Linked DNA regions of Tamandua tetradactyla. The protein of the gene in region 2 interacts with the protein of the main gene of each other region in a pairwise test. Links are inferred from orthologs where the notes say so. Each region holds a gene or a part of one and is shown on either strand. Other genes may lie near its edges.

Region 1 (16,129 bases), on a different chromosome or scaffold from region 2:
CCCATCCACTAAATCTCTCCCTAAACACATTGGTGTTTAACACTTGCTGATCGTTGTTTCAGGGAGGCAGAAGAAGTTGAAAGAACTCCAGATAGGAATCAGAAGACTTGTCTGAAATTCTGAGTGACCTCAGGTGAACCACTGAACTGTTCACGCCTTTGTTTTTCACAGTTAAACATGAGGGGTTGAAATTTCTGAAATTGCAACATCAAAATTCTGAGAATCAAACACACAGTAATCTTTTTGATTGATGGGTAACCATTTAAAGACTATTTCAAAAGTTCCACAAGAGGGCAGCTCCTCCACATCACTTAATTTTGGGAGGGAGGAAATAAAATCCAAGCACCTTTGAGTCTATAAAAATGCTTTCTTATACAATATTTTTATTTCTTTTAATTGTACAAGTAGAACACAATATATTCTCACTTAAATATTCCAGCATTACAGATGAATTTCAAAACACTTGTTAGTACCCTAATCCTAGTACCCTTCCATATTATCAATTTGATGAATATGTCTTTTCTATGCCGCTTTTTCTGTGACTTTTTAAAAACATGAGTTCTGCACTAATTTTTATAATCGCATAATTTTGCAATCTTCCTGTCAATATACATTAAAAAGCTTTAACCACTACCTTTAGTTCTATATAACGCATGTCATAATTAACTCTTAACTGATGACATTTAAATTATTTTCTATTGTCAGTGCTTCATTGACTATTTCAGTACAGTATTTTGAAAAAAGTGTTTAAAGCCAGACTTTTTTTCATAGCGATTCAGATTTTAAAGCTAATTTATTAACCCAAAATAGTAATGTTTTAGTAATTTCACTAGTCACAAAAATATATACGGTCAGGACACAGAAAAGAGATTAGAAGTGGGGAAGGTTGGCAGCCTTTCTTGGAAGTGTTAAGGTTTATTCCATTTTGTGATATTTATCATTCTAGGATTCCCCTCACTGTTAAAGGCATTTACCAAGCATGGTCTTAACTTAGATTGGATCAGACTTAGAGACAAATGGCCCAGTTACTGCAGAGAAGATGGAAACAAGGAATGATCACACGCTGCCTCCCCAGAGAGAGTAGGTTAACCTGTCAGCCACAGGAGGGAGCTGTTTTGGAAGCAGCCCCAGCCAACATCTTAACTAAAAGCTCATTAAAGACTCCGAGCCAGAACCAGCTAAGCTGCTCCTGAATTGCTTGCCACACAACCCATGAAATAATGTTTGTTGTTGTTTTAAGCTGCTGAGTTTAGGAATGATTTGTTATGCAAGAATAGATAGGTAATGCAACTAATATCTACGTTGTGAGCCTCTCTGGGTGAGGTCAGATGGCTGGGAAATCAGGTTGGGTAAATTCCCAAGGTCCCAGAACATCAGGTCACAGTGGCTGATCTGTGCCATATCCTCCTCCCAGCCTCAAATATTCTAAAAATGCCATTTTCTAAGGGCCCACAGGGCCAAGGGCCAGGTGTTTTCAGGAGCACATTCTAATTAATGTAATAGATGCTGAAAAGCAAGAACTTTCTCAGTGTTTTAGGAAAATGGGCTTGGAACTCCCTTTGCAACTAATTCCACCAAAGCTTGCTACCTTCTCTAACCAGTTTACCAATGTTTTTCAGGTCCGCATTAGGTTTACTTTTTTCCCTTCCTACCTTCCTGTGTCTAAGGGATTAGTACAAGCCCATGAACAGCCTCAATGTCAGAACATGCTTTTTAATCCCCATGGATAAGATACAAACACTGCCAAAGTTGACTCATAACAGGAGAGCTGGGGCTTATGACAGCTGACGGTGGGAGTTCTGAGGCAGGCACTTAAATCCTTTAACTTGGCAACCCAAAGGAGCTGGGGGTGGCGCGCTCACCTTCACTCTGGGATGCTATGGTTTTATTTCTAAAAAAGTCATTCTGTGATGACATTTGGGAAGTGGGCAATTAGGCTTCAGGTTTGGAGGGATTAGAGGGAACGATTTCCACTTTGAAATGAACTCTGAAGATCCAAACAGTGGGTGCGACAGAGGATCTGGTCATTTAAGAATTGTTGAGGTAAAGAGACTGCTAGAGAAATCTCAGAAAATATTCTCCCTAAGATTACAAGGTTCCCCCCGCAATTTATTAATTTAAAAGTCAAGAATGGAACACATTAAGTTATAATGGAATAAACATAGCTTTTGGTGTTGTATAGACATGAGTTCAAATCACACCAGCTGTGGGATCCAGAGCATGTTATTTTGCATCTCCAAGCTCAGAAGGAATAATTCGGAAAATATGTATAGTATTTAACATGGTGTCAAGCACACTTAATAATTCCTCCCTTTTTTCCAATGAAGGATAATAATAATGGCAATGTTAATAAGTTAAGTCTTTTGTCCAGTTCAACCTTAGACTTTCATGGCAGCTTGAAAACCAACAACCTTGTCTTGTCCAAAGGCTCTAGGGAACCTCTTTGAACCTCAAGTTCTTCACCAACAAAATGGTAGAAATAATAACTTACACTTATAGGGTGGTATGTGCCCCACGCACTGTTGTAAATTTTTTTTTACATATATTAACAAACCCACTGGATGCAGCAGCCCACTAAGGTAGTTTTTTGTTTTGTTTCATTTCGTTTTTTCATTCTACACATGAGGTAACTGGTAGAGAGAAGAGTGTATCAATGGGCCAAAGTTCACTTAGCTAGTAGGTGATAGAACCAGAGTTCAAACCTGAACAGTCTAATTCTAGTGCCTACACTTTGTGCGTGTGCTTGAGGGGTGGATTTTAAATGTGAAACCAATAAAGACTGTAGGAGTTGCCTGGGAAATTATCTTTGCTTCCTTATTTCACACCTCCCCCAAACTATTCCTATGTTTAAGGTACATCAGTGGCAGGAGAGTGGAAGTTAGCTGTCACTCTAAGCACTTTTAAGTCGGAGGCAATTAAGAGCAAGCATGCCTTTGCCGCCCATTTTCACATCTGACATGCTGGAAACAAAGGACTTTGAAATAAACAGAATAGCGCATCTGAAACAGCACGTATGCCTGAATTTCTTTTGGAGTAGAACCAAACAAGAGAATCTTCCTGTTTGCATTGGGCCATTATGAGGATGAGAATAAAGCTTTATGTTTAGCAACTGAGTTTGGGGTATATTTCTCGCATTAGCATAGCTTCGTCCATCCTAACTAATAGTTATTAAATGGCAGTGATCATTATTTTTCTCAAATAAAAGACATAAAACCTTGGAAGGAAAATTTCATGATGTAGATATGAAAAATGTAGGATTCACTCTTCTTGAGCAATCACAATGACATTAGGAGAACTCAGAGCTTTTTAAAGGATTAAATGATAAACTGGGTGAGTATGAATAGGAAAGAGTTAAGAGGTCCAAAAAGGGAAAAGAAAGGGACCCCCAAGCCATGCATCTTTACGGAAGACTTGCCCGGGCCCTTCCTGGGTTCCAGCACCCAGACAAGCTGACTGCGTGGTGTAGAGCTGTATAATCGACTCAGCTCTGGGAGGGGCATGGAATTCTTTGCAGAAGAAAAGGAAATGTCCTCATATAGACTATGGTGGTGAGGGCATGGCCCTGTGATTATACCAGGAACCACTGATTTTTTATTTCGGTTGGATTGTACGATATGTGAATAAAACTGTTTAAAAATGAACAGAGAGAAACAAGTGCTGGAGAACATGTGGAGAAAGAGATGGATCTATTCACTGTCTGTAGGGATCTGAGAGGTGCAGCCCCCTGGAGGGGAGTGTGGTGATTCCACAGGAGACTAGGGGTGTCATTGCCATAGGATGCTGAAACCCCATTGCTCAGTATATACCTGGAGGAACTGAGTGTGCGGACAGGAATGGACATTTGCACACTGGTGTTTATGGCGGCAGTGTTCCTGTTCATGACTCGCAATGAATGGAGCTGGCCTAAGAGTACAATGACTGAGGAATGGAAGGGGAAACTATGTTGTATAATACAATGACAACAGACTACTGAGAGCTGCAAGAAGGAATGAAGGTGTGAGGCATGCAACTAGGTGAATGACCCTTAAGGACAGTATGTTGAATGAAATGTCAGAAACGAAAAGATAAATATTATTATACCTCACTCATATGAACTAACTATAATATACAAACTCAGAGAAATGAAATCAAGAGCATAGGGCATCAGGTTAAGACCTATTATAAAGGTTCCTAAATTGTAAGTTCTTATAGCAGTCACATCTATTCCAGAGTTGTAACTGTTATTTCTGAATTCTAAGATGCTGAACTCTCTGTATATAACCTGGTCATTACCTGGAACTTTGGGTATTTGTGTGACAACTGAGTCTCAGAGAGCCCTGAAGCTATGAAAGTCAGCATTATCCCACACAGAAACTGTTGAAAAAGTGATCAGACTTCAACTAGAAATATGAGTGAAGCTGACCTGGATAGGACTAAGGTACATCAGAGTGCAGGGTAAAGGATGATATGGTTTATATATTAAAACCTCAACTTCTGTGTGAGACAAAAGAAAGAGAAGGAAGAGGTTTATATTTTCTGTCACACAGTATCTAATTTAACTTGTGCATTCAAACACCACAATTACATGGAATCTTGAATAGGGCATGAGAGCTTGTTGGTTTGTAAAGAACAGTGCGATCTACCAATACATCCCAGAGTAATTTGGCAGAGAATAAAAAAGTATTTGCAAAGCCCCCTTGGGGAGCTGGGGAGAAAGGAGGAAATATTAAACTTCTCCACCTGGGGAATTCCTGATATCCTTGCAAGCATTGAGGACTACCAATTTAATAGGCTGAGCCTTCGATCTTGGGCTTTGACCCTATAAAAATTATTTCTCCAAAGGAGAGCTTAAGCTAATTATAACTATGTCTAACAGTCCCCCAGAGACCTCTTTTGTTACTCAGATATGGCCTTTCTCTCTAAGCCAACTCCGCAGATGAACTCACTGCCCTCCCCACTATGTGCGACATGACTCCCAGGGGTGTAAATCTCCCTGGCAATGTGGGACATGAGTCCTGGGGATGAGGCAGGACCTGTCATCATGGAATTGAGAAAGCCTTCTGGACCAAAGGGGGAAGAGAGATATGAAACAAAATAAAGTTTCAGTGGCTGAGAGATTTCAGAGTCAAGAGGTTATCCTGGAGGTTATTTTTATACATTATATAGATATCCCTTTTTAGTGTATGGTGTATTGGAGTGGCTAGAGGGAAGTACCTGAAAGTGTGAACTGTGTTCCAGTAGCCTTAATTCTTGAAGAAGATTGTATAATGATATAACTCTTACAATGTGACTGTGTGATTTTGAAAACATTATAGCTAACACTCCCTTTATCAAGGGTATGGACAGATGAGTAAAATAATATAGATAAGAAATAAATAATCAATATGGGGGATGAAAGGTCAAATAAATTGGTAGATGGAAATACTAACGATCAATGAGAGAGCGGGGTTAGGAGTATGATATGTCTGAGTTTTTTTCTTTTTTCTCTTTATTTTTCTGGAGTGTTGCAAATTATCTAAAAATGATCATGGTGATAAATACACAACCATGTGATGATATTGTGACCCCTGATGGTATACTTTGGATGGATGTTGTGATGGGTGAAGATTTCTCAATAAAAATATTTTGAGTAAATACAATAAAACAACTCAACTTACTTCCCCAACTCACTCCACAGGGCCTAGACAGAGTCAAGGAAGGACACGACTATGCTGAAATGGCCTTAGAATCTGGAGGCCTGCTAAGAAACCCTTCTGACTGCTGAGACCAAGTTCTCTCTCCTCATTGTCTCACTCAAGGCCTCAGGGTGGGCTTGGCAACCATTACTCCGGCTTTGTTGGCAGAAGGAAAGGCAAAACTTAAAAAATAGAGACTTAAATAGTTGTGTAAACAACAGTAATAGCCTACTTCTTTTTTGTTCTGTCACTCAGCCAGTCTGGAGAATGTTTGATCATTTCCTTCTGTATCATCATCAGTCTGAAGACTCTTTCAGTGTCAGATGACTCGGTCTGGAATGGTCCCAGCGAAGGCCAATGACTTCTCAGGAGCACAACCAACAATGGAGGAGATGCAAATGGTTCAGTCTATTCTCCATTCAGGATGGGGCTGGGCCTGGAAATACGAAGGGACCACTGTGCTCTTGGATGTGAAGTGAGTGGGTGATCAGCTTCGATAGCAATATCATTTTCCAGAAGGGGAAGCTGGGTCCCTAAAACCATAATTTCCATTTAAAAGAATGATCTCATGGAAAGCATCCTGGACGGCAAGCAGAACTGTCTTTAACTATCTGTTTAATCCCAGGTAAATAAGTTCATTTTTGTGGCTCGTGGTTGCATCTATTTTTTAAAGGCGAGATCTTAATATGATAACTGTCCTGCTCACATTCTTGGAACTGCAGAAATATGACAAAATATGTTGGGCAATTGCAGAGGGGAATATTACTTTGACACACATTAGATCTCAACCCTAATTTCACATCTTCTTATTTGTGCGACCTTGGGCAGATCACTCAACATTTATGAGTATCTATTTTTTACTGTGAAAAACAGCAGCACATTTCAGGGTAAGGTGGAAGAATCTTAGATTACCTTCATTGCTTTAGTGTTAAATGTCCACACTTGCCATGGAAACAGCCTAACCAAAAGGTCCTACCCACAATAGTTCTGTCCCCACAAGAATGGATTAAAGGAACGTAGGTTTTTGGGCGGCACATAACAGATTCAAACCAGCACACTCCACCCTTTGGAACCCCAAAAGAAGTATTCTTTCCATATGCAAAGTACATTCTTTGCATCACAGTATCACAAAGGCTTAACTCACTAAAAAGTTTAATAAAAAAATAATAACAACAATAATAAATGTCCTTACTTAAGGCTATTTCTATCCAGGACCAATGCACTACGTTGTAAACCTTGATTTCCTTAGTAAAGACAAATTCTTAATTAGTTATGAGCAAAGTGACTTTCTCTGACTAACAAGCATGCAAATTCCATTTCCATCCTCAGAACCTACCTCCCTCCTGCCTGGATAGGGGGTGGGAAAAGGGGAGGGAAGGAGAAGTCTGATATCACACAGCCCTATGTAAGGGCTTCCTCAGGTTCCTGCAGGCAGTTTGGAAGCAGCTAGAGGAATGAGTTAGGTCCTGGTCCTGGGCTTTTCTTTTCTTTCTTTCTTTTCTTTTTTTAATCAGACAGACACAGCTGTAAAAATGCAGCCTCCACAGAAAAGCCCAAGCCCCAGACCTTTCAAGCAGAGGAAGAGCTTAGGTAAAGTTCTGGGGGTGTCTTTTTAGATTCCAAATCTTAAGAAAGGGAAAATTTTTAAAATGCAGACTTCTCTTACATGCTTATATATTCCTTTGCACTTACAATTTTCACAGCAACCAGAAGAGAGGAAGTTGCTGGAATCCGGGCAAAGTTCCCAAGCAAGATTCCGGTAAGACTCGTGTTTTCCTGGGGGTGGGAGTGGGGTGGTAGGGGGGCCTGTGATTCTGTTCTTTGTAAAAACAAAAACCACTCAACAACCTCCTTCTCTCTGTTCCAAGTTCCTAAGAACACTGAGTCACAGTCTTAGGCACTTGTTTCAGGAAAGATTCATGCTGAGACATTTGACAGGTGGTAGTGGAGCGCTATCCCAGGGAGAAGTTCCTGCCCCTCCTGGACAAAACCAAGTTCCTGGTCCCACAGGAGCTGACCGTGACTCAGTTCCTCAGCGTCCTTCGGTAGGTGATGAATCCTGCGGGAGGTGGCAGCTGTGGATGTCTCTGGGCTTTGGGGAGAGTGGGGGTCTGGCAGAGGGAGACAGGAAAGAGTTCTGCTTCACCTTTTCCTTTAATTATACTTTTAAAAAGGGTGAGCTTGGGTGAACGGGTGGTTCACTGGTAGAATGCTCACCTTACATGCAGGAGATCTGGGATCGATTCACAAACCATGCACCGTGCCCACCCCCTGCAAAACAAGGCGAGCTCATGCATCCCCTATTTTAAACAGAAAAGAAATACCTTGCTAATAACCCTCAGTGAGAGGTCCCAGTGTTGACGTAAGAGCTGTTTTCTCTTTTATTTCAACTTTTACTGAGACCCTATTTTAATTGCTACCTTCAAATGTCTCTAATGACTTTTCAAAGGAGACTTGTTTCTGAAACTAGTTGAAGAAACCCTCCGTTGTCAGGTATTTTGGGGGCCCAGCAGTCAGCATTTTGCCCTCATTAGTTCTCTTTCTTTGCTCCCCTGATGGCAGTGAGGGGTTGGGTTTTGTGCATCTGCTAGGATCACCGAGCACAGGAAGCAAGTACCTTCTGCTCCTGCACGGCTTTCTCCCTCTCAGGAGAAGGAAGGGCAAAGCAAAGGAAATGTTGCTGATTTTAAACATAAAACTTATGGGATTTCAGTTGGTGCCTGTCAGCTAGACTCAATAAATACGATTTGGAACTAAAGCCCGTTGACTGGTGGGGGGGAGGGGGGCGGCCGTCAGCATGGCTGGTGTGTGTGTGTCTCCCTGAGGCGGAAATAACCTCTCGGAGGTTTTAGCTGATGCAGGCATTTTCTCCAGAGCACTTACTATGATTTTTTTATGAGCTCTTTTAGAACGCCCAGAGTTTTCCTCAGATCTGCTAAGGGTTGTTTAGGTGAATCTGGTGGAAACTGAAGGCAGCTATGGGAGAACCAAAATCAGGATTAGATCGTTGGGCACCATTCCCCCCTTTCCTCCATGTAGGGCCACCTACAGTCTTCACGCACTCCCCATTCTCCATCCCAGAGATTTCAAATTTCTACTTTAATTCCTTCAAAAATAGTTGACACGCAGCACGCACTATATATCAGGCTATTTATATTCTATGCTCTGGGTATGGGACAGTGAACAAAACAGACAAAATTCCTGCCCTAAACATCTTCTAAGCCACAGAGTTCTCCCTCTTGGGGACCTCTCGACGTTAAAAGGATAACCTAATAGGAGATGGAAGGAAAAGAAGGTCAAATTTCTTGACAAGAAGGGTATCCTTTGAGAACCAACTGCCGACCTCCTCTTCAGCTCTGTCCTTTCTACAGAACAGATGTTTGGTCATCCCAGGAGGACAATGCAATTGTCAGGACTCAGTCTCTGGGTCTGCCAGCATCAAGTAACTGGCCTGGCACCTTTCAGCTGGGCCCAGGAGGGCACCGGCCATGGCTCTTAAACAACGTAGGGTGAGGCGGGTTGGCTGTTGAGGAGGATGGGTGGAAAAAGAGACATTTAGCCATCACCAATAGATGTAACTTGCCATGATGCCAAAACAATGATTCAGAGCTCTTAGCATGCCCAACCAAATGTGGCTGCTCCTTTGTCACCTTAATCCAAGGGAGAAGTTGTTCTAAATGCCCCCCGCCCCTGCCCCGAAGCTGTTTAAGTGATAGGTTATGTGGCATTACTGGAGAATTCTTCACTTTAGATTCATAGCAAACAGAGGCCTACTTACTTAGCTTTTTTTTTTTTTTTTTCCTTTTGCATGGGCAGGCACCGGGAATCGAACCCGGGTCTCCAGCATGGCAGGTGAGAACTCTGCCTGCTGAGCCACCATGGCCTGCCCTTGCTTAGCATTTTTAACCTGTATGTATTTTTTCTAGTAAATGAAGACATGGCCTTGCACTTCGGGCCCAACTGAGAGTCCCAGGGCATTTGAAATCTTCCGGGAAGTATAGTGAATCTTTTGGCCAATTTCTAATAACTATTTTGTTGCCCCAGTAATACTACAGAGAAGGCCATTTAGGCAGGTCCTTTAATTTTTTCTACACTTTGGTTTTTTTATCTATAAAGTAGGGAATCAAATGAGACAAGGGCTGAGGTTTTGTTAAAAAAGTTAAGTGGTGGGGGGTGCAAAGGTGGATCAGTGGTAGAATTCTCGCCTGCCATGGGGAGACCTGGGTTCAATTCCTGGACCAGGCACTTCCCAAGCAAACAAAGAAACAAACAAAAAATTTAACAAATGGTGCTGCAATAACGGGATACTCACATGGAAAAAGAACGAACTGTGGCCCCACCATACTGAGTACAAAAAAAAGAAAGTTAAGTGGTGGACAGATATAAACTACCGTTTCAGCAAGGATGGTGCAGGCAGGCATATAGGTAGAAATGGCAGTTTGAGAGACTTCAGGCAGCGGTGGGGCAGCAGGGGTGCTGCCTGTGTCTCTTGAGCAATGGTTCTCAACGTGAGGTGCACTTACTTCACAATCACACAGATGCCTAGGCTGCTTCCCAGATCAATTCAATTTAAATCTGTGGGGGTGGAGGGGGTGGGGGAGGTGGGGGGGGTACTGGATCCCAGGAATCTGCATTTTCAACAGGTCTCTCCTGGATGATTCTAAAGTGTGAGGACCACAGCCCTAGATTGGGGAAGGGAGGGCATCTGGGTAGAAGCTTACATTGGACAAAAACTGAGCTACACCTTCAGATCAGAGGCCCATTCCCTGCCAGATTAACTTCTTTCCTTTCTGCCATCTCCCCACCCCACACCTGTGCCCTCCCCTACCCACCTGCTCCCACCAACCCAGGAGCCGCCTGGTCCTAAGGGCCACTGAAGCCTTTTACGTGCTGGTGAACAATAGGAGCCTGGTCAGTACGAGTGTGACCATGGCCGAGATCTACAGGGACCACAAGGACAAGGACGGCTTCGTGTACATGACCTACGCCTCCCAGGAGATGTTCGGTGGCTTGGGGTGGACAGCCATCAGGGACCGGCGCCTCTTGGGAACAGGGCTGCCAGCCTCTCAGGCTCCGGTCAAGAAGAAGTTGTCTTCTAACTGATGCAGATGGGACTGGCTGTTCCTGTGCGTGCGGTGGAAGGGTCGAGGAAAACGAGTATGACCTGGAGAGACAGCCCCATCAAACGACACTGAAGCCACCGGTCGTTTCTGGCTTGGTTTCTCTTTTCATGAGCCCTGTCACTGGAAGAAGCTCCCATTGCTCATGGAAATTTTGTAAATGGTGATTCTTTTTGTCTGAATAAGCAATGGTGGATTTGTGTGATGATGTTGCATGATGCGCTGGAGTTATCTTTAAAACGTCTTCGGTGGTGGAGGTAGGGCAGAGCCTTGGGGAATCCGAGTTCACTGTCTCCTGGAGGTGTCACTTCTGTGGGTCAGTGTACAGAGAATGCCTGCTCGGTGGTCTCTCTGGAAGCCGGTGCAGACAGTGCAACCACATTAAAGCTTATCCGGGTGTGGTCTTATCTGTGTCATTAAAGAGACTCTTGTTACATTTCCATAGTACTCACTCAGTTATTTCCTATTATATTCTTTTTTGTCTATGCCAGCATTATGACTTCTTGATTTTAAATAATTTAAATTAATAGTCTTTTTTTAAGATAAGAATCTTTAAAATAGTAGTCAGCATTTAAGTTCTTTTTATAGACCAGGCTTTATTCAAATACTCTACATGTGTTTATTCCTCATGACTCTTCTATATGTTAAGTACTATAATCCCCATTTTAAAATGAGAAAATTAGGTCAATGAAAGGTCAAGAAACTCACCCAAGGTCCCAACTAGATTTTGAAATCAAGCCCCAAACCCCTTTGCTAGTCTTCCTTTCTAACGCAGAAGTTTCTTCACTTGGTGGGAACCGAATATGCTTGAATTGAAACTGAGTTACTAGCTTAACAATTCGCAATGGGAAACAAAGAGTGTTCTAGTTTGCTAGCTGCCAGAATTCAATACACCAGAAACAGAACGGCTTTTAAAAGGAATTTATTAAGTTGCAAGTCCACATTTCTAAGACTGTGAAAATGTCCCAACTAAAGCAAGGCTATAGAAATGTTCAATCTAAGGCATCCAGGGAAAGATACCTTGGCTCAAGAAGGCCAATGACGTTCAGGGTCTTTCTCTCAACTGGAAAGGCACATGGCGAGCATGGTGGTGTCTGCTAGCTTTCTCTCTAGGCTTCTTGGTTCATGAAGCTCCCCTGGGACGTGTTCCTTCTGCATCTCCGAAGGTCTCTGGCTGCGCAGGGTCTGTAGCTCTTTCCAAAATGGTTGTCTCTTAAAGGGCTCCAGGAAGCAAATCCCGCTTTGAATGGGTGGAGACACACCTCCATGGAAATCATCTAATCAAAAGTTACCACCCACAATTAGATGGGTCACCTCTCCATGGATAATTTTAAAACTCCCACCCAGCAATACTGAATGAAGATTAAAGGATTTTCTGGGGTGCACAAATTCAAACCAGTACAGAGAGGGAGACACATAACTGCAGTAAAGCTTGGACATGTAAATCTAGTTTTGTGCAAAGGACATGATTTCACTGATAGGAAATAATTAGAATAAGCAAATTCATAGAGTCAGAGACTAGAATATAGGCTACCAGGGGCCAAGGTAGGGAGAGGGGATGGAGAGTTAATGCTTGATTGGTACAGAGTTTCTGTTTGGGGTGATGGAAACATTTTGGTAATGGATGGTAATGATGGTGGCACAATATTGTGAACACAACTCTGCACTGAATTATATGTTTGAATGTGGTTCAAGGGAGACTTTAGGTTGAATATATGTTATTGGAATTAAAAAAAAGCACATGGGACTTTACAACACAAACAGTAAACCCTAATGTAAACTACGAACCATAATTAACGGTACAATTATAATAATATTCTTTTATCAGTTGTAACAAGGAACCACACTAATGCAAGCTGTTAATGCCGAGGTATATGGGAACTCTGTATTTTCTGCATGATTTTTCTATAAACCTACAACTCCTCTAGTAAAAAATGTTATATTTTAAGAATTATATTAAAAATAGAACTAGTTCTATGCCAAGAAGAGGAGAGCCCAAAGAAGGCAGAGTACCACTGTGTTCGGAGGGTTCACTCAGGAAAGACACACAGAGGAGTGCAGTTTGAGTTGGGTTTGGAGAAGGAAAAGAGTTTTCATGAGAAGAAATTCTTTTTTGTTGTTTTTGTTTTCACTTACAGCCAGTAAAGATTTATTACACATCTGTTGTGTGCCAGGCAAGAGCTACAGCAGTAAACAAGACAGAGAAGGGCCCAGTCTCATGGAACTGGCTCCAGTGAGGAAAGAATGAAAATACAGAGACTAGTAATAATGTAAAGAAACAATAAAACAGAGTTGGGAGCAGAGACAGTGAAGAAGACTCTACCTCGATGGTCAGGGAAGGCTTCTTGGAGGAGGTGGCTTTTGATCTGAGTCCATACCATGAGAAGAAGTCAGTTCTTTGTGATCTGGAGGAAGAGCCTGCAAATTGTGTAAGAAAGTGAACTATGTTTTTCAGTTTCCAATATTTTTATTGACGCTATTTCCTTCCATGCTTTTGGCTTTTCTGATTGGAGCAGGATATTTTCAATGGGCATAAATTAAAGTTTTAGCAAATATTTATTGTCATCTTCTTTCTTTCATTCTTTCTTCCAGACCCTGGGTCCCTATTGATATGGACTGGCCCCCTAGCTCAGAGAACAATTGTCCCTGATGATTCCTCCCCTTTTACATCCATTTTCCTTTTACTTTGATCATTTCTTCACCGTCTCCATGAAAATAACCTGGGCCAATTTCTGCTGAACAATGGAAAGATTACATTATCTTAAATTATTACACACTAAAAATGACAAAGATAAAAAGTATTGATCGAAAACAAACAAACAAACAATACGAAAGTATTGATCTGCCACTGGAGTGGAGGCGGGAATGACTAGAAGAGACAGGTGAAAACTTAGGGACAGAAGTGGGAAGATTCAGGAGAGGATGCCCAGGGAATACCCTGACATAGGGTGGTACAACAACGGTGGCTCAGTGACAGAATTCTCACCTGCCATGCCGGAAACCCAAGTGACATAAACTTAGTGACATAAAACAGGATTTATTCTTTCTCACGATATTCTGGCTTGGCGACGAGGTTCCTCAGCTGCTTTCACCTGGGCTCACGCAGGCAGCTATGTTGAGCTGGCAGGTGAAAGAGGCCCTGAATTCTGGCTGTTGGCCTGTGTCTTGGGACCACCCTCATTGCCACTCATCTTCCAACAGGCTAAACCAGCTCCTGAGATACAGTGATTTTAGGGTCATGTTCCAGGGAAGGCAATGGGGAAAATACAAGTCTAACTGTATTCTCCCAGGCTCTGGGTCTTGCCCAGTGTCATTTTGTTGCATTCTTTGGTCAAGCCCAGATTGAAGGGATGGGAAAATTGAAGCTTCTCCTTTCAAGAGGTATGTCTAAGGAGTCGTGGTCATATTTAATCTACACATACTCCTAATAAACAACCTAGCTTCTTCTCCATCAGCTGCATCTGACCCATTTTTTGTGATTTATTTCCACCAATAAATGAGTAATTTCTCACTGTCCACCCTTCCTTCCATGCCTTCCCCTAGTCCTCTGTCCCTCTGGCCAGGGTGGTGGGTATGGCTGATTCCAGGGGGATACCCTGCAATCTTTTGCCCTTTCTGTGGTCACTTAGTTAGCAGGAATCATTGTGCTCTCCCCTAGGAGGTTCACAGAGGTTTGGTCCTCGCTCAACTTCCTCAGATACCAAAGCTCATTAGGTTTCCACTTTAGAGGAAGTGTCTGCCCAGTATAGGTGCTTGGCTAGGAGTGACTGCTGGACATGAAAGTATTTCTAGCAGGGGGATCACCTATGGTGAAGGCGGCTGGTGTAGGTGTGAGGAAGTGTGCCAAAGCACTGCTATTGACTTGGAAATATTATGTGGTGCAAAATAAGCTGGGAACAAGGCAACATATATTGTATGGGTCTCTTTTAGAAAATACACATAAGAAACTTGGGGCCTAGATTGTAAGGTCTTATAGCAGTCACATTTAGTCCAGAGCTGTGGATGTTATTTCTAGATTTTGAGATGTTGTGCTATATATGTATAACCTGGTATCTCCCTGAAACTTTGGGTACCTGTGTGACAGCCAAGACTCAGAGCTGGAGTTCTGCAGCTCTGAAAGTCAGCATTGCTCCGTACAGCAACTGTTAAAGAAACTGAAAAAGAGATCAGGCTTCAATGAGAGATAAGAACAAAACCAATTGGGTCGGGACCAAGGTAAATCAGAATACAGCAGTAAGGATGACATTGCCTGTATTTTAAACTTTGCTTACTCTATGAGACCAAAGGAAGGGAGCTTGATTTTGCCCAAAACCTACATTTTCTGTAGCACATAACTTATTATGTTCCTACAGCAGATAAGTCCTGAAACCCAGTTTCTCTAAGACCATCAACTAGTTCCATCCCCCTATTCCATATTATTGACAATCCCTACCAAAAGGAAATGTTAGAAGGGATAGAGCCCAAATACCCCTAAAGACTGGGAGAAGCAGGTGTTATAACAGAGAAGAGAGGATTCAACAAATGAGCATGACTGCAGAATCATTTTATTGATATGTCTTTTAGTTTCCAGTGTCTTGGAGCAGCTAGAAGGAAAAACCTAAAATTGTGAAATAGTAACTCATACCAAACTTTGAAATCTGTTCTGTAATTACCTGTTACAATGTACTTTGAATATTTACTTTCTTGTATATATTTTATAACATTTTATTATAATTCATATAATACTATATACTTTGAAATTTATTGCCTTTTTGTATTGTGCCAGTTTGAATCTGTGGTGTAACCCAGAAAATCTGCATTCTTTAAATCTCATTCAATATTGCTGAGTGGGAGCTCTTTGGTTATCCATGGAGATGAGACCCACTCAATTGTGGGTGGTAAATTTTTTTTTTATAATTTTTTATTAATTAAAAAAAATTACAAGAAAGAAACGCAAACATCCTTAATATATGCTCATTCCATTCTACATATTTAATCAGTAATTCACAATATCATCACATAGTTGCATATTCATCATCATGATCATTTCTTAGAACATTTGCATCAATTCAGAAAAAGAAATAAAAAGCAACAGAAAAATAAAACAAAAACAGAAAAAAAAAAAAAGAATTTTACATACCATGCCCCTTACCCTTCCCTTTCATTGATGACTAGCATTTCAAACTGAATTTATTTTAATATTTGTTCCTTCTATTATTTATTTTTATTCCATATGTTCTACTCATCTGTTGACAAGGTAGATAAAAGGAGCATCAGACACAAGGTTTTCACAATCACACAGTCACATTGTGAAAGCTATATCATTATACAATCATCATCAAGAAACATGGCTACTGGAACACAGCCCTACATTTT
Region 2 (16,083 bases):
GTGTTCTGGTTCTCTATTACATTCTAAAAAGTAGAATTTGCCAAAAACTTCCAGCAAAGTGAGGGATCCCTGTAATTATTTCAACACCTTTCAAGCAAATAATACACAAAATGGCTGGCAAAATATAGGGGCAAGAACTCTGGTCATCAAAGTGTTTACTATTCAGTCATGTAAAACAATATACTTATATAACAGCGTAAGATGATATGGGCAATGTTTAAACAATGCAAGACACACAGAAGAGATAATATGGCTTAGAGCTATACAAAATTAACTACAAATGACTGAAACACACCGTAAATAACACAGGAACCAGAAGAAAAGATGATTTTTTTTCAGGTGAGAAAGTGGAAAAAAAAATGATTCTGAAAAAACATTTACAAGAAATTGAGTGAAACTGAACCTTTTGATTATAGAAAAGAAAGCCTGGTGAAGAAGTTCCTAACATTTGTCTTATACTACCATACAATATTTGTTAACAATTTCACAGTGACATTTACAAGGTGACTCTTAATGTAGAGTTAAGGCTAGTATAAGCTACTTATCAGTCTGTTTAAAAAAGAAAATAAAGAATGACTACATGGAAGAAATATTCAAAAAGTTTTCTTACCTTAAATATACCAACCCAATCTTTTGGATGTGGATGGATATATGGAGTTAAGGTGTAATGACATTCCAGGTGTGCATTAGGAAGATAACTCTTGGCCACATTTTGAAAGATGACATGTGCAAAGTTGGAAGTCTGCAATGGGACTTCTTGAAAGGATGTCATTGTGTATCTGAAACAAGTAATTCATACAAAATGAATGACATCAACTAAGAAGAAACTTACACCTTCAGAAAATAACATTTCATACAAGTTTTGTGAATTTGCATGCCATAAATACTGAGAAGATATATACTTTTAAAATACTGGAATACCTCCTTAAAAATGTAAATAAAACAAGAGACAAATTGGGAAATTTGGCTTAGAATGTTACATGGGGGTTAGAAAGTATAAAAAAGGAAAAAAGAAAGAGAAAACAAAAACAACAAAAAATAATGCTTCTCAACTCTCCTGCAAAGACTAGACCTGTTCATTTTAAAAGCAAATGAACTGAAGGTGTTTTAGAGCACCAACAGTCACCGAAAACCTGCCAGCCCTTGGCTACAGATATTATGAAAAAGAAACAAAAACAGGTCAATTAAGTTTTTCTTTCCATGCTGAACCCTCGATCTTCATTGTTTTCCTCCCTAATCTGGCCTACCCAATCGCTCTCCTCTTCCTGGGTTCTAGGCTCCTGTAACATCCTGCTTCTAACCTGCTGACCAATAGCTCTGTACCTGCCTTTTTTGCCCTGGGTTCCCGATTCTCTGGACCAGCGCCCTCAACTCTGGCTACAGATTAGAATCACTGGGGAAGCCTTCAAAAAGCAAACAAAAAAGATGACTTTTCTAGGAATGGGGCGTAGGCATAGTTGTTGTTATTTTTTTTTTTAATTTCCTCAATTAATCCTAATCCTATGTACAGCCAAAATAGAGCCACAACTTAGACTCTGACCCAGATCAACTTAAGTCTCTACTACCACCTCTCACTCATTTCCACAAATTCCAGATTGTCTTCTTGGCCTTTGGTAAAACTTTGTTCAACTCTCTCAAATCATGAAAAACCTCAGCTGGTCTGCTTAAAATAGCTCAGCCTAATTGTTTCTCTCTATCTACCCCAATTCTACCCTTTCATTCCAGGTTGACTTCCAGTATTCGTGTACCTTTTCCATGTATGTACTGAATAAAAATCTTTTTAAAAAATTTTAAAGCAAAACAGATATACAACATCAATGAAATACATTCTTTTGAAAACCTGTTGTAGTTAGTGAACACCAAGAACCGGATTGATGAATGGTGCCAGTGGGCAATAAAAAACTGGAAGACCCAAATGTTTTCCATAGTTTTTGCTCTAATTTTGAGAAAAAGAAAATAACTGGGGGATTTACTCAAAAAGGCAAACTACGAATTATGTCACAGGCTCAGCATAACCCCTGATGCTACCGTACACATAAGAATTATGACACTGACCCTATGGCATTTGCTTCTGAGCCATCAAAACAGAAATCTCCATAATAATGGGGGAAAGTGGTAACAAGATTTTCGTTAAACAAATTAATCTAATTTACTTAACAAATCAATGAATTTTCTACAGGGCAAGCACAACAGTAAAACACTTACTCATATTTTAGCAATTAAGAAGCCTTTATTGCTAAGAAGACCTAAGACAGTTTGCTTGCACAATTATTTCTTCTGCTGACCTGTTTTGAAATAAAGGCAAGTTTCTTAAATTTTGAAACACTACTTTGGAATATATCCATTCCTCTTCTTGTATCCTTTCTGCTTCTCTTTTGGTCATAGTACTGCTTTACAAGAACAATAGGCTGGACACTCCATAAAGAACCTGACCTGACAGTAGCGAACCTGGTAGCCATAAGGGTAGTTCAGCAAGTCTCTTTCATTTCACCTCTCTCACCCAAGTTTCGCCAGAATCCTGAGGTATGTCAGGAGTCCGAGGTGTTAAGAGAGGGCATTCAGTAGCAGTCCTTTGCACTAACAAAGAGCTTTACTATCAGCAACCCTATTTAATAAAAGGACTTAAATGTCAATATTCCTACATCTGGTAGTCTAAAGACTTCAGAGAAATGAAAAGGCAGCATTTCCAAAGACTGGGAACTCTGATCAAAATAACTGAAGAGTTTTATTTCATTGTTTCTTTCAGTAAAAGAATTGGCTACAAGTTACCAAAAAGAAAAGCTATAGCTAAATCAGCCCAATCAATAGCTAAACCAGTTGAACCAATCTCTATAAGGTAAAACTACTTAAAATAATTCAAGCGAATCAGTAATATTTTCCTATGAAGAAAGTGACTATTTAGGTTTCTCTAAGGAAGATATTCAGCAAGGAGAAAATAAGGCTCCCTTAGAATAAGTTTCCCATGTTGTTAATTAAAAGTGTTACAAAACTTTTTTCTTAAAATCAAACATGTTTTTTTACATAAGCTAAATCAACAAAGCTGTAATGATTTGTTTATAAAACAATTCAGTAGAATTTAAACTTCTGTTTAATTTCAATTAAAAGTTTTTTTTTTTAAATCCATAACCCAACCTCACACTTTTAACTTCATTGAAAAGATTTTTGAGCATAAAATAGCATGCAGGTGTACACATACATATATATATATACACACACATACATATTTTCACATATGGTATATGAGCATATATGTATATAAATGCACTAAAAGGGACTGAAGCAGTACACAGTTAAAAAATCTTTACTTATGGAGGATAGGATATGTCTGAAAACAGAACTTAAGAGGACTTTCACCTTTTTTTCAACACATTTAAGGACTTTCACTTTTAACTCTATTTATTGTCTGAATTTCTACCAATACACAGAAATCTATTTTCATTGCTTTAAACATCCATATGAACATGAAATTTCCTTTTTAAGCCCTCCCCCAAATTTCAATTTTTGACAGAAAACTAACATCAAACTTAAAATAGATTCATGGCATTTATATGTCTGAGGAATAAGATAATCTGTGATCATCCTATTAAAAATCTTCATTAATCCCATTCCAACAGTCCAATCTTTTAAAAAAATTCAATATAAAATTACAGAAATATCTCACAAGTCAATCCATGTTTATCATCACTTTATTTTTTACTCTTTTTATTAAATTTCACTACTACTTCTAGTCACTAAAAAGTTAACATGGATGAATACAATACGAATGTAACTACAAAATGAATCAAACCATTTTAAACAGCAAAATTAAAATTCTCACACAGTTCTTTTGGTTCACTCTGTCCACACAGAGTAAGTAGAACAGAGAAATGGGCAAGCTGATAAAAACGCTGGAATTCACTAAAAATACTGGATATTAAGATGAGTGCCAGCGGGCCACACTTGCTCAGCAGGCAGAGTTCTCACCTGCCATGCAGAGACCTGGGTTCGTTTCCCAATGCTTGCCCATGCAAAAAAAAGATGATGAGCCCCAGGTAGATTTATACACTACACTATACACATCAACACGCACATCCAGAACCAGTGAAGAAGTAATGTGCAAAGTCTATGCATCACCTTGTGGTAATCCTTGGGAAGTGTAGCATCCCCAGCATCCTGAGAAAAAAATGCGAGCTGCACCTCAGTTTGAAAAAGGAAATATAGCTCCTATCTACAAAGGAAATAGAGCATACCAAATTTTGCTTCCTATTCTGTAAAGTACCTCTTCAGACACATGAGTAGATTACAGCGGCAAGCCACAGATAAGTAAAAAGAAAAAAAATCCAGTTAAGAATTAAAGGAACAGATACATTTGGCTGGGAAATAAAATCTGAAATGCATATATATATATGCGGCTACAGTGTCCTCGTCCAGGACTTACTATATTTCCTCAAGTCCTAACACCTCTAGAATTCCTTCAGCTGTGTTAGGCCACAAACTAGGTATTATAAAAGTCTTTAGTCTAAAATTAAATTTTGTTATTCTGAGAACTCATCAATCCTTAAAAAAAAGTAATATGCAGTAGTCTCTAAAATAAATTTTGGAGTCACGGGTAACATTTCAAGGTTGTTTTACTTGCTTCTCTTTCAAATATTTCAAGCCCAAAATAGATCTGGCTTTTGTGGCAGGTTTTGTTCCCCCTCACTGTGGTTTCTGATAATTATTTTACCTGACTAACCAAAACATGCAAGCCTTAGTCAACTAATGTTGAAAACAGACTTGAGAACCTCTGTGCATTAAACATATAAAGTCAAATTAAGTTTTTTAACTTAAATAAATATTTTCTATAATTTCAGTCCCAACAATTAGGACTAAAGAAGCAGTAAGGTAATTTTGTTAGGTCTGATAACGAGATTGTGGTAATTTGATATATCAAATCCTCACCAATTAGAGATGCTAAACTAATTATAAGAGAACTGTCCTTATGAGTGGGATTTGCTTTACAAACTCCAGGAGAGGGGAAAATAAATGGTTGGAGGGGGTAACAGAACAAGACTAGCAAAATGTTAATCTATATTATTTTTAGCTCTCCTTCTGTATGTGTTTTTTCTGTGTGTCCTCAGAAGCACTGTGATTCAGGTAGTCATTGACAAAATTAGCGAAAGCTTTGAGAATCTCGGGTTTGGAAATTATGAACCTTTAAAATTACGTCAAAATTTCAGTTCTACAGGACACAAAAACATCTAAAAAGGTGGGAAATGTCTGACACTTTGATAATATTTCAATATTTGAATGCATACAGAGTATCAACTGGTTTATAGCTCACTACTCCATCTGCCAAACCGCATTCCTGCAGATTCCCCATTTCCAGAATCCTTTACAGCTGAGTGTCATTACACTCTGCCCATGTGTCCCGAACACCAGTTATATTTACTTTTAAAAATTTTTTTTAAAGTTAGTTTCTAAAATGCTACGAATGCCCCACATATACTTGAGAGGAGGGACTTTCTATTTTTTACTAAAGATTTGGCCCAAAATAAGCTTTAATGAGCAAAAAGTGCATAAATCCCAAGTTTTACTTAGTAATATCCAAATTCCAAAAGAATACAATCTAATACACTCCACATCTGAGTAATTCCCCCAAACAGGTAATGAAGGAGCACTGTTAGGATCCTCAAAACTATTTAACATTATTTAAAAGACCGAACTTAAAGAGTTTCAAAATACCTGTTACTTTTGTTACGGGGAGAGTATTTACTGGATAACTCTACACAACTGTGATGTCTAGAATAGGATGTTCTTTGACATCTGAGAACCACATTGGGAAAAAAAAAACCTTAAGTCAAATTTAGTGTAATTAAGTAATCCTTCAAGAAATCAGTCTACAAGTTCAGATAAAAACATCGAAAGCAAGTCTGGCCTCAACCCCTTCTCTATAGCCGAAAAGGGCTTTGAGGGCAAGCAGCCCACCTTTAGACCAAAAGGGTGTAATATAATTTATTAACAGGGTGATGTAGACAAACACCCACATACCAGCTAAGCTCTAACAGTGGACTCGAGAAAGCATAGCTCCGGAACTCTTAAGACACGGTCGGGACTTGTTCACCACCCGCGGGGGAAGGAAGGAGAGTTGTGAAAACAAAGAAAACTTTGACTAGTCAAAGGAAGATGTGACTGTCCTCTAAAGACTTTTTTTTTATTTATTTATCTCTTCGAGTACTGGGAGATGAGGGGTGGGGGAATTCATAAGCAGATTTCGAAATTCTGTAGTCCAGGTGAAGTAGATCCGGACCGAACAGCTAACCCCGCCCGCGGCCCTACCGCGTGGGCGGTACAGGGGGAGTCTCCGCCTCCTGATCCACGGGTGACTAAAAACAAATTCGCGAGTCTCTGCCGAATCAAAGGCGGCGTCCATCCCAGACCTGACTTAGATGTTATCCCAAGCTTACCGATACCGGTAGCACACACAAGCCCTCAACACAGCGTCATCCTAGAGTTGATCCTTGGACAGCATATTTTTTTCTCCAAGAGCCGCACAAGTCACTTGTCCCGACCAAAGGGCCCACGTCCCAAGTCCCAAGGCCTGTACGCTGGCCTCCCCCGCCGTGGAGGGCGGCCACTCAACGCTTTTCCAACTCCACTGCTAATCGAAATCGCTCACACACCCCGTCACAATCACAGTCCAACAGAAAAATGTTTGTTCCCGGGAAGAAAAGCATCGTCATCACAGAGAACCAGTTCCCTGAAAGCTGCCAGGCCCCTAGCCTGCAGGGGCTGAGGGGCGTATCGCGAGTCCCAAAGGGGTTCCAGCTGGAGTCTGCCCCCGCAAAAGTCGCTGGAGCGGACGGAGAAGGGCTTACCTACTGAGGGACTCCCGGGCAGAGGAGGAAAGTTACAGAAGCTTCCGAGCCAGAGACGCCATCAGGGGCCGAACCTCTTCCGCCAACAACACCTCCCTCTACAGACTAACAACACTTCTCCTCAAAGCCCAGAGCCGGCGTGACATCACTTCCGCCCACGAGGCCGTTCCTTCCGCTGCTGCGCGGTACGTCCGGCCGCCATGCTTCGAAGCGGAGCCAGCTGTTTCAGCCTGCAGGGCTGCTCGGCCTCGGTTCTCGGTTTTACAACTTTCGTTCAGAGGTTCACTTCAGAAAATCAGGCTCCGTTTTTAGCATTTGCGGGTTTTTTTTAATTAGTGTTTTAATATGCGAAGTGGGGAAACATACTGGAAAATTAAGTTAGCGAAATAAAGGGTTACCCAGAGGTATGTGAGTTATTGCCTGGATCTTAAAACTCTGTCTAAACTAATTCACTTATAGATAAGGAGAGAGAGAATGACAGAGGTGAAGAGAGCGACCGCACATCTAGGGCTATAACCCCTGTGGCTCTCCCTCAACCCCTGCTCCTGTTTCTTGAACTACCAAGTTTTGTTAAGCGCTCCCTTTCTCCGAGGAGCTATTTCTCTAGCTCCACTGGCCTCTTAACGCCCACATTTCTGTAGTAAACTGTTTTTGTTATCTGTATTATTTTGTGTGCGAATTTTTTCCTATGTTTTGTTAAATTATAATTGCCTTATATGATGTCCTTTAATCGCTTTTTAAACTTTTATCTTCCCTTCCTATAGTAGGCACTCAGATTGAATCCTAACTCCGCGGAAGCAAGTGTGCCTGTCGGTACTCATCATATTCCTGTATTTATTTCCATAAACACTGAAACAGTGTACAGTATCACCAACGAAGAGAGGATGACAAATTAGACCGCATTAAACGTTGAAGCATCTGCTAAATAGAAAACATACACATTATGTATTTGCATGTAATAAATTTTCTATTACCCATTTTCAGTTCATGAAACCAGAAACCAATATACTTAATAAAAACCACAATTCAAAACAACACTTTTGTGAAGGAATTTTTGTTTTGTTTTGTTGTTTTTAATAATAATGTCTAAACAATTTTAGACCTTGTTTTCCCCATGAAGTATTTGTTTAGCTACTTTACTTTGCTTTATTCCTTTTAATAACAAGTCCTTGAATTTTTAGACCATGTTTCTCCCATCAAAATAAATACATAGCCTCACAATATTTAGGTGAATTTTTTTAATTAGCCTGTTAACAAGTAGGGCAGTGTGCTAGTGACTATAAGAGACATGGGGCCACAATTCTTATGTGAAAGTCTTGGGCCAGGTGTAATTCAGAATTTTTCAGGCTTTAGAAAGGTATATTTCGCATTATGTGACACTCCTACAGGGTCTAGAGGCAACACCTCATAATCAAATTAATGATTTTTCTGTGAAAATTGTAAGTATCAACTAAGGATAAATTAAGACTGTAAATAGTCTGCCTTCAGTTCCAGTTGTTCAGATCAGGTTTTACAACTTTACCACCATGTATTCAAATTAGATCAAGTTTTCTTGACAAATGAGTTCAGGCCACAGCAAATTTTGTCTAGTGAAGAAACATTTGATTTTCAGAGCTTTTTGGATTTCAAAATTGTGAATAAGAATTGTCGACCTGTTAAAAAAATTATTGGAAAAGGTATCAATCAATTTTTCTGGAGTAATTACAGTTTCAAGTAGTTTCTAGCCTGTTGTCCTGACCTGTTTCAAACTACCTATTGTGTGTTTTGATTAGGAAAATAGCTGACCATATCTATAGGAACAGTTCCTCTCTTATAGGAACTCATGATAGTAAAGGGAAGAAAAGAAATTAATCCATGAAAACCTAGGTGACTAAAGTAGAAATAAAATGCTTCAGAGGTAGGAGAATCATTACAAGCTTGTGTGAGCAGTGTACTTTTCATAGAGGAAGCAGGCCTACACTGTTAAAGTTAGGCAGGGATTTGATGAGGTGATAGGAGGAGGAAGACTTCCCAATTATGATGGGCATAGGAGTTAGAGGAGAGTTAACAAAAAATAATAATTCCCATTTATGAAACATATAGTGCTTTCCAAGCACTGTGCTTGAAATTTGACTTATATCGTCTCCATTCCTTGCAGCAGCCCTGAAAGGTAGGCATTAGCATTGCAGTGGAGTGGAGCTCAGAAAGGTTATATAACTTGCCAGTGATCACAGAATGGGTTACCCAGACTGGAACTCATTTTTGTGACTCCAAAGTTCATGCATTTCCTACTATGCTCTGATGCTTCTTGATGAGTGCTTTTTTGGTCATTTACTTTCTGTTTGGTTTGCTAAAGTTGCCAAAATGCGCTCTACTAGAAATGAGTTGGTTTTACAATGGGGATTCATTAACTTCGAAATTTACAGTTCTAAGACCATGAAAATGTCCCAATCAAGGCATCATCAGGATGATACCTGGACTCTGACGACAGGCTACTGGCAATTCTCAGCATCTCGGCCAGCATGTAAGGCACATGGCAGTTCTGCTGGTCTCTCATTTCTCTTCTGGGTTTCTTTTCTTTAAGCTTCTGACTTCTCTGTCTGTGGCTTTGTTTCTCAGCTTTCGTGTGTTTTTCTCTCTCAGCTCTCTCTCTCTTTCCTCTTTCATGCTTTTATAAGGGGCTCCACTAAGACTATTAATTAAGACCCACGTGGGGCATACCTCAACTGAAATAACCTAATCAAAGGTCCCAACCACAATAGTTCTATACCCACAGAAACAGAGTCGCTTTAAGAACATGATCTTTTCTGGGGTCCATAAAACCTCCAAAAAAATCACACTGTGTGGTCTCAACTTGTGCTAGGTGCTTGAGGAAAACAAAAAATAAAGCATGGTTTCTTACTCAAAGCTACCAGATACCTCTCTGATAATACAAGATGATGTCATTAAGTGTTAAATGTATAGGAAATGGACTGCAAGAAGTAAAGTAGAAAGATTGATGCAGAATTATTTGGGAATTACTGACAATTTAAAAAAGACTGGACTCTAAACTTTGAAATATTAACAGAATTTGAAAAGGTGGAGAAAAGGCTTGCTGGGTAGTGGGAGGGTGGATAATGTTATTAGAAGGGCACAAATGAGGCAAATAAGTGGTACAGCATGGGTTAAAAATTAGAAACTAATTCCAATGGGCCTGTTATAGAAATATTATAGGTTTTAAAAGCCAAGTAAAATGAGTTGTTTTCATTTTTTAGATCAGAGGTTTCCCTTTGAGTTTGTATTAAAGATTCCTTTTGCTACAAATGATTCTTTCCTTTTAAAGTAAAACATATTTAGAAAAAAGCACCTTTTTTTTTTTTTTTTCTTTTGCCATGGGCAGGCTCTGGAAATCAAACCCGGGTCTCCAGCATAGCAGGCAAGAATTTTGCCACTGAGCCACTGTTGCACCACCCTAGGGAAAAAGCACTTTTAAGGATGGGATTTGAATAATGGTAGGCTTTTGATAGAGAAGTCACTATAAACAAGGTTATTTATTTTCTCTTACTCGTGTGTTAGGAGAGGGTATGGATGTACTCCTTGTTCCTTATAGTTTATTAGCCACTACTCTCCCAGATGCTGGTAGAAGGTTGCTTCTTTGATTAACACGATTCAGTTTTATTCACCTTTTCCCTTCTTGTTGCTATCATCTGCTGATCTCCACAGCACTTGTCCTCATTTATGGAAGACTATCACCTTATGAACAGTCTTATTCTTCATTCCAGGCCCTTCAGGATGAACGTTCCAACACCCTGGCCTTTTTATTTCTTGAATCCCTTGTCTTCAGTGATCTCCACTCCACTCCAGATACCTATATTCCTGTTTGTACCTTGGACCATAACTGTTCCACCTTCAAAATCAAGCATCCTACACCAAACTAATGCTGATGAGAAGATTTTCAGCTGTTCCAACTTCCCCTCTGGATACCTTCCCTCTCAACTTAAATGAAGTAGAAAGTTTTATGCCTATCAGGCAGGGCCTACACCCCATGAAAAGTCAGAGCAGCTATAGAAGACAGACCCTCATCCTTCAGCAACCCTTAAGATTAAGAGGCAATATCCTTTAGTGTGCCGCTCCCCACCCCCCACCATCATTTCAGGATGAAAAAGTCAGAATACGTATTGCCCAAAGATTCGTATAGATTGGGAGAAGGACCAAAGGAGAAGGAGGAGGTATAGCGAAGAGAATAGGATTTAACAAATGAGTATGACTGCTGAATCACTATATTAATATTCCTTCTAGCTTCCAGTGTCTAAAGTAGCTAAAAGGAAAAATCTGAGATGAGGGAATGGTAGCCCATGACAAACTCTGGGATTTGTTCAGTAACTACTTGTTGAAGTGTGCCTTGAAAATAATTTTTTCTTTCTTTGCTGTGTATATATGTTATATTTTACAATAAAAATGGTTTTAAAAAAACAATGAGCTCTTTATTCCTAAAGACCACTCTAATATCACAACTTAATTGTAACAATTTCAGAAAGTGTTTTATTAATGATATAAAATATAGCCTACCTGTGTGTTTCAGCTTCTTTTTCTTTTCCCATTTGTGTAGGATGCTTTTCTGCTTTAATAAAATTTCTAATCTTTAAAAAAAAAAAAAAGATTAAGGTGAGAACTGTCTCACCTTAAAATTTAATAATCTTATTTATTTTAGTAAAAAATAAAATTTCTAATCTTTAAAAAAAAAAAAAGATTAAGGTGAGAGAGAAGGGAGGGGGAAAACCCTGCATGGAGCCCTCAAGCAATGATGGTAAATCAAGATCAGGAGGACCAGTGTCCTACACAGACAACCTGCCTGCAGCTACCCCTTACAGGAAACGCCCAGTGGCAACTGACTCTCCTAGAGCCAGATAACCCCACTTGAGTGAGTCATCCATGAAGAAGGATGGAGCCAACAGACTCGCCCAAATTCACTATCTACCAACAACTACTGCCCTGGAGAGAAGAGAGGGTAGGAGAAAGAGCCCAAAACCAGGAAGGGAGAAGGGTTGTAAGTAAAGCTAATCTGCAAAAGCAAATGGCCCCACATTGCCTGTTGCCTCTCGCCTCTCTCACCTTTCAACTTTCTTTTCTTGCTCGAGTGCCTACATGTCTTCTCACATGTGTATTCAATACATTTTCTAATTGCTTAAAAAAATAATCAAGCATCCTACTCCTTGACTATAATCTCCTATTTTTCTAACTCACTTATTCAACTATACCCAAATAGAAACAGAAACAACTGTTTCTCAAACTCATCAGGATTTTAATTCATTAAACTTCCTCCTTTAAAATCTTCCTGATTACCCAACTTAAGATCCATGGACTATTGTTGGGGATTGAATCATGTCCTCCATAAAAGGGATGTTGAGGTCCCAACGCCTGGTCCTATAGCTGTGAACTCATTTGTAAACAGAACTTTTGTAGATGTTATTAGTTAAGGTGTGCCCAAACTATATGAGAATGGGCCTTTCTCCAATGTGACTTAAATCCTTAGAAGCAGAGGAAACTGGACACAGAAGGAGAAGCCATGGGAGAAGAAAGAAACTGGAAGTCAATGGAACTGGGAAGAGAAAGAAAAAGATGCCACTTTGTTTTTTTGCCATGTGATGGAGAACCCAAGAAATCCAAAAATTGCCTACCAGCCAGAAGATACCTACCTGGGGAAGAGATACGCTTTCTAGCCTCTAAACCCTTGAGACAATAAATTGCTGTTTTAGGGCAACCCATTGTATAGTACTTGTTTTAGCGTCCAAGAAACTAAAACATCTACTTCGTCAATATTATTTCCAGTATCCGAAACTACCTTGACTTTCTAACTTGCAGTTTAAGTGTAATTTCCTATAACAAACATGCTTTATTAACACTGTGGTCATTATATGCTTTACCAATAAAGGTTATGTTTAGGAATATTAAACAAAAACTTTGAAGTTGAAATGGAGTGTCTTGAGGAATTTCTTCCACGATCAAAGAAAGAGGCAATAATGTATGGTAATAAGAAGCAGAACTTACTTTATACTTTAATATATACTTTAATAAGACCTTTGCCCCACCTAGCTCCTTACAGTGTTCCTTGTACAACTGAGAAGTCACTGGAATGTAAATATTTTCTAATCTCTCTTCTTTATTTTACTAAGAAAAATAGCCAGCACAGTATTTTTAAATTATTAAAGTACTTATCTCACAAAGCTTCTTTCCTCTTAGTGTTTCTCATTAAATGCCTTTATTATTTTTTGAGTCACTTGCATATCAGTGGTAATCAAAGTTAATAAAAATTACTTAAATAAAATGTTATTAAAAGGAATTTTTAAAAAACTTTTTGCATAATATAACATATATACAAAGCAAAGAAAGAAAAAAGCAATAGTTTTCAAAGCACTTTTCAACAAGTAGTTACAGGACAGATTCCAAAGTTTGTCGTGGGCTATGATACTATCCTCTCAGATTTTTCCTTCTAGCTGCTCTAGAACATTGGACGCTAAAAGGAGTAAATATTTTTTATCATCACAATCGACTTTCTTTTCCTCTTTTTTAACATGTGAAAAATAACATATATACAAAAAAGCAATAAATTTCAAAGCACAGCACAATTAGTTGTAGAACAGAATTCAGAGTTTGGTATGGGTTGCAATTCCACAATTTTAGGTTTTTACTTGTAGATGCTCTAAGATACTGGAGACTAAAAGAAATATCAATATAATGATTCAGCAGTCATACTCATTTGTTAAACCCTATCTTCTCTGTATAACTCCACCATCACCTTTGATCTTTTACCCCACTCTTTAGGGGTATTTGGGCTATGCCCATTCTAACTTTTTCATGTTGGAAGGGGCTGTCAATAATATGGGGTAGGTATGGAGATATCTTATGGATCTTACAACTGGAGGCGGTTTTATGGACCTTAAACCTAAAGCAAGAGCACTGAAGAAGGAAATAAATAAATGGGAACTCCTCAAAATTAAACACTTTTGTGCATCAAAGAACTTCATCAAGAAAGTAGAAAGACAGCCTTCACAATGGGAGACAATATTTGGAAATGATATATCAGATAAAGGTCTAGTATCCAGAATTTATAAAGAGATTGTTCATCTCAACAACAAAAAGACAGCCAACCCAATTACAAAATGGGAAAAAGACTTGAACAGACACCTCTCAGAAGAGGAAATACGGATGGCCAAGAGGCACATGAAGAGATGCTCAATGTCCCTGGCCATTAGAGAAATGCAAATCAAAACCACAATGAGATATCATCTCACACCCACCAGAATGGCCATTATCAACAAAACAGAAAATGACAAGTGCTGGAGAGGATGCGGAGAAAGAGGCACACTTATCCACTGTTGGTGGGAATGTCAAAGGGCGCAACCACTGTGGAAGGCAGTTTGGCGGTTCCTCAAAAAGCTGAATATAGAATTGCCATACGACCCAGCAATACCATTGCTAGGTATCTACTCAAAGGACTTAAGGGCAAAGACACAAACGGACATTTGCACACCAATGTTTATAGCAGCATTATTTACAATTGCAAAGAGATGGAAACAGCCAAAATCTCCATCAACAGAAGAGTGGCTAAACAAACTGTGGTATATACATACGATGGAATATTATGCAGCTTTAAGACAAGATAAACTTATGAACCATGTAATAACATGGATGGACCTAGAGAATATTATGCTGAGTGAATCCAGCCAAAAACTAAAGGACAAATACTGTATGGTCCCACTGATGTGAACGGTCATTCGAGAATAAACTTGAAATATGTCATTGGTAACAGAGTTCAGCAGGAGTTAGAAACAGGGTAAGACAATGGGTAATTGAAGCTGAAGGGATACAGACTGTGCAACAGGACTAGATACAAAAACTCAAAAATGGACAGCACAATAATACCTAATTGTAAAGTAATCATGTTAAAACACTGAATGAAGCTGCATCTGAGCTATAGGTTTTTGTTTTGTTTTGTTTTGTTTTGTTTTGATTTTACTATTATTACTTTTATTTTTTTCTCTATATTAACATTCTATATCTTTTTCGGTTATGTTGCTAGTTCTTCTAAACCAATGCAAATGTACTAAGAAATGATGATCATGCATCTATGTGATGATGTTAAGAATTAATGATTGCATGTGTAGAATGGTATGATCTCTAAATGTTGGGTTAATTTCTTTTTTTCCGTTAATTAAAAAAAAAAAAAAAGAGAAGGGATAATTGGAGATGAAGGGATACAGACTGTACAACGGGACTGGATATAAAAACTCAGAAATGGACAGCACAATACTACCCAATTGTAATGCAATTATGTTAAAACACTGAATGAAGCTGCATGTGAGGTATAGGTTTTTTGTTTTTGTTTGTTTTTCTTTCTATTATTGTTTTAATTCTTATTCTGTTGTCTTTTTATTTCTTTTTCTAAATCGATGCAAATGTACTAAGAAATGATGAATATGCAGCTATGTGATGTTATTAAGAATTACTGATTGTACATGTAGATTGGAATGATTTCTAATTGTTTTGTTAATTCTTTTTTTAATTAATAAAAAAAAAAAAGTCAAAAAAAAATAATAATAATATGGGGTAGGGAGATGGATCTAGCTGATGTCCTGGAGAAGTTGGGCCCTCTAGGTTTCACAACTTACCTGGTCCAGGGACCCATCTGGAAGTTGCAGTTTTCTGGAAAGTTACCCTAGTGCATGGGAACCTTGTAGAATCTGGAAAAGAACTTTTAAAGTTTTAATTTTTACAAAGTTTGATTCAAAATTTTAGTCTAAAGTGTGTTTTATTTCCAAGATCCCATCCTCTTCTACATTATCTCTATTTTATTCAAGCCCTCTACCACTATTCTTTAACAGGCTTTCATGTTAATTTCACTTAATTTCTTAAAACTTTGCCAACTCCATATTTCCTTTAGCTGCTATGTTTTGTCACGTTTACAACCAAACTTCTCATTTCTAGAAAGAATTGTATATATTCCCCTCTGTTATTTCCCACCTGTGGTGGTTTGAATTTGTGGATCCCAGAAAGAAAGTCCTTGAATCCTCATTCAATATTGCTGGGTGGGAGTCTTTTGGTAACCCATGGTAATCAATGTGACCCAGCCAATTGTGGGTGGTAACTTTTGATTAGATGATTTCCATGGTGGTGTGTCTCTACCCATTCAGGGTGGGGTTGCTTACTGGAGCCCTTTAAGAGGGAACCATTCTGGAAAGAGCCACAGATTCCGGCAGCCAGAGACCTTTGGAGATGAAGAAGGAAACGC

The links.
Region 1: the proteins of TAX1BP1 (region 2) and MAP1LC3C interact in binary tests that used the Homo sapiens proteins (3 or more experiments, as listed by UniProt). The link is inferred for Tamandua tetradactyla from reciprocal best matches to the Homo sapiens genes TAX1BP1 and MAP1LC3C.

The regions. Positions count from the first base shown.
Region 1 is NC_135333.1:13,052,905-13,069,033, forward strand, and holds MAP1LC3C (microtubule-associated protein 1 light chain 3 gamma), read left to right. Parts: upstream 1-7,094; 5' UTR 7,095-7,186; coding exon 7,187-7,244; intron 7,245-7,357; coding exon 7,358-7,413; intron 7,414-7,592; coding exon 7,593-7,699; intron 7,700-10,504; coding exon 10,505-10,757; 3' UTR 10,758-11,349; downstream 11,350-16,129.
Region 2 is NC_135327.1:95,378,564-95,394,646, forward strand, and holds the start of TAX1BP1 (tax1-binding protein 1), read right to left. Parts: upstream 6,988-16,083; 5' UTR 6,837-6,987; intron 780-6,836; 5' UTR 773-779; coding exon 611-772; intron 1-610.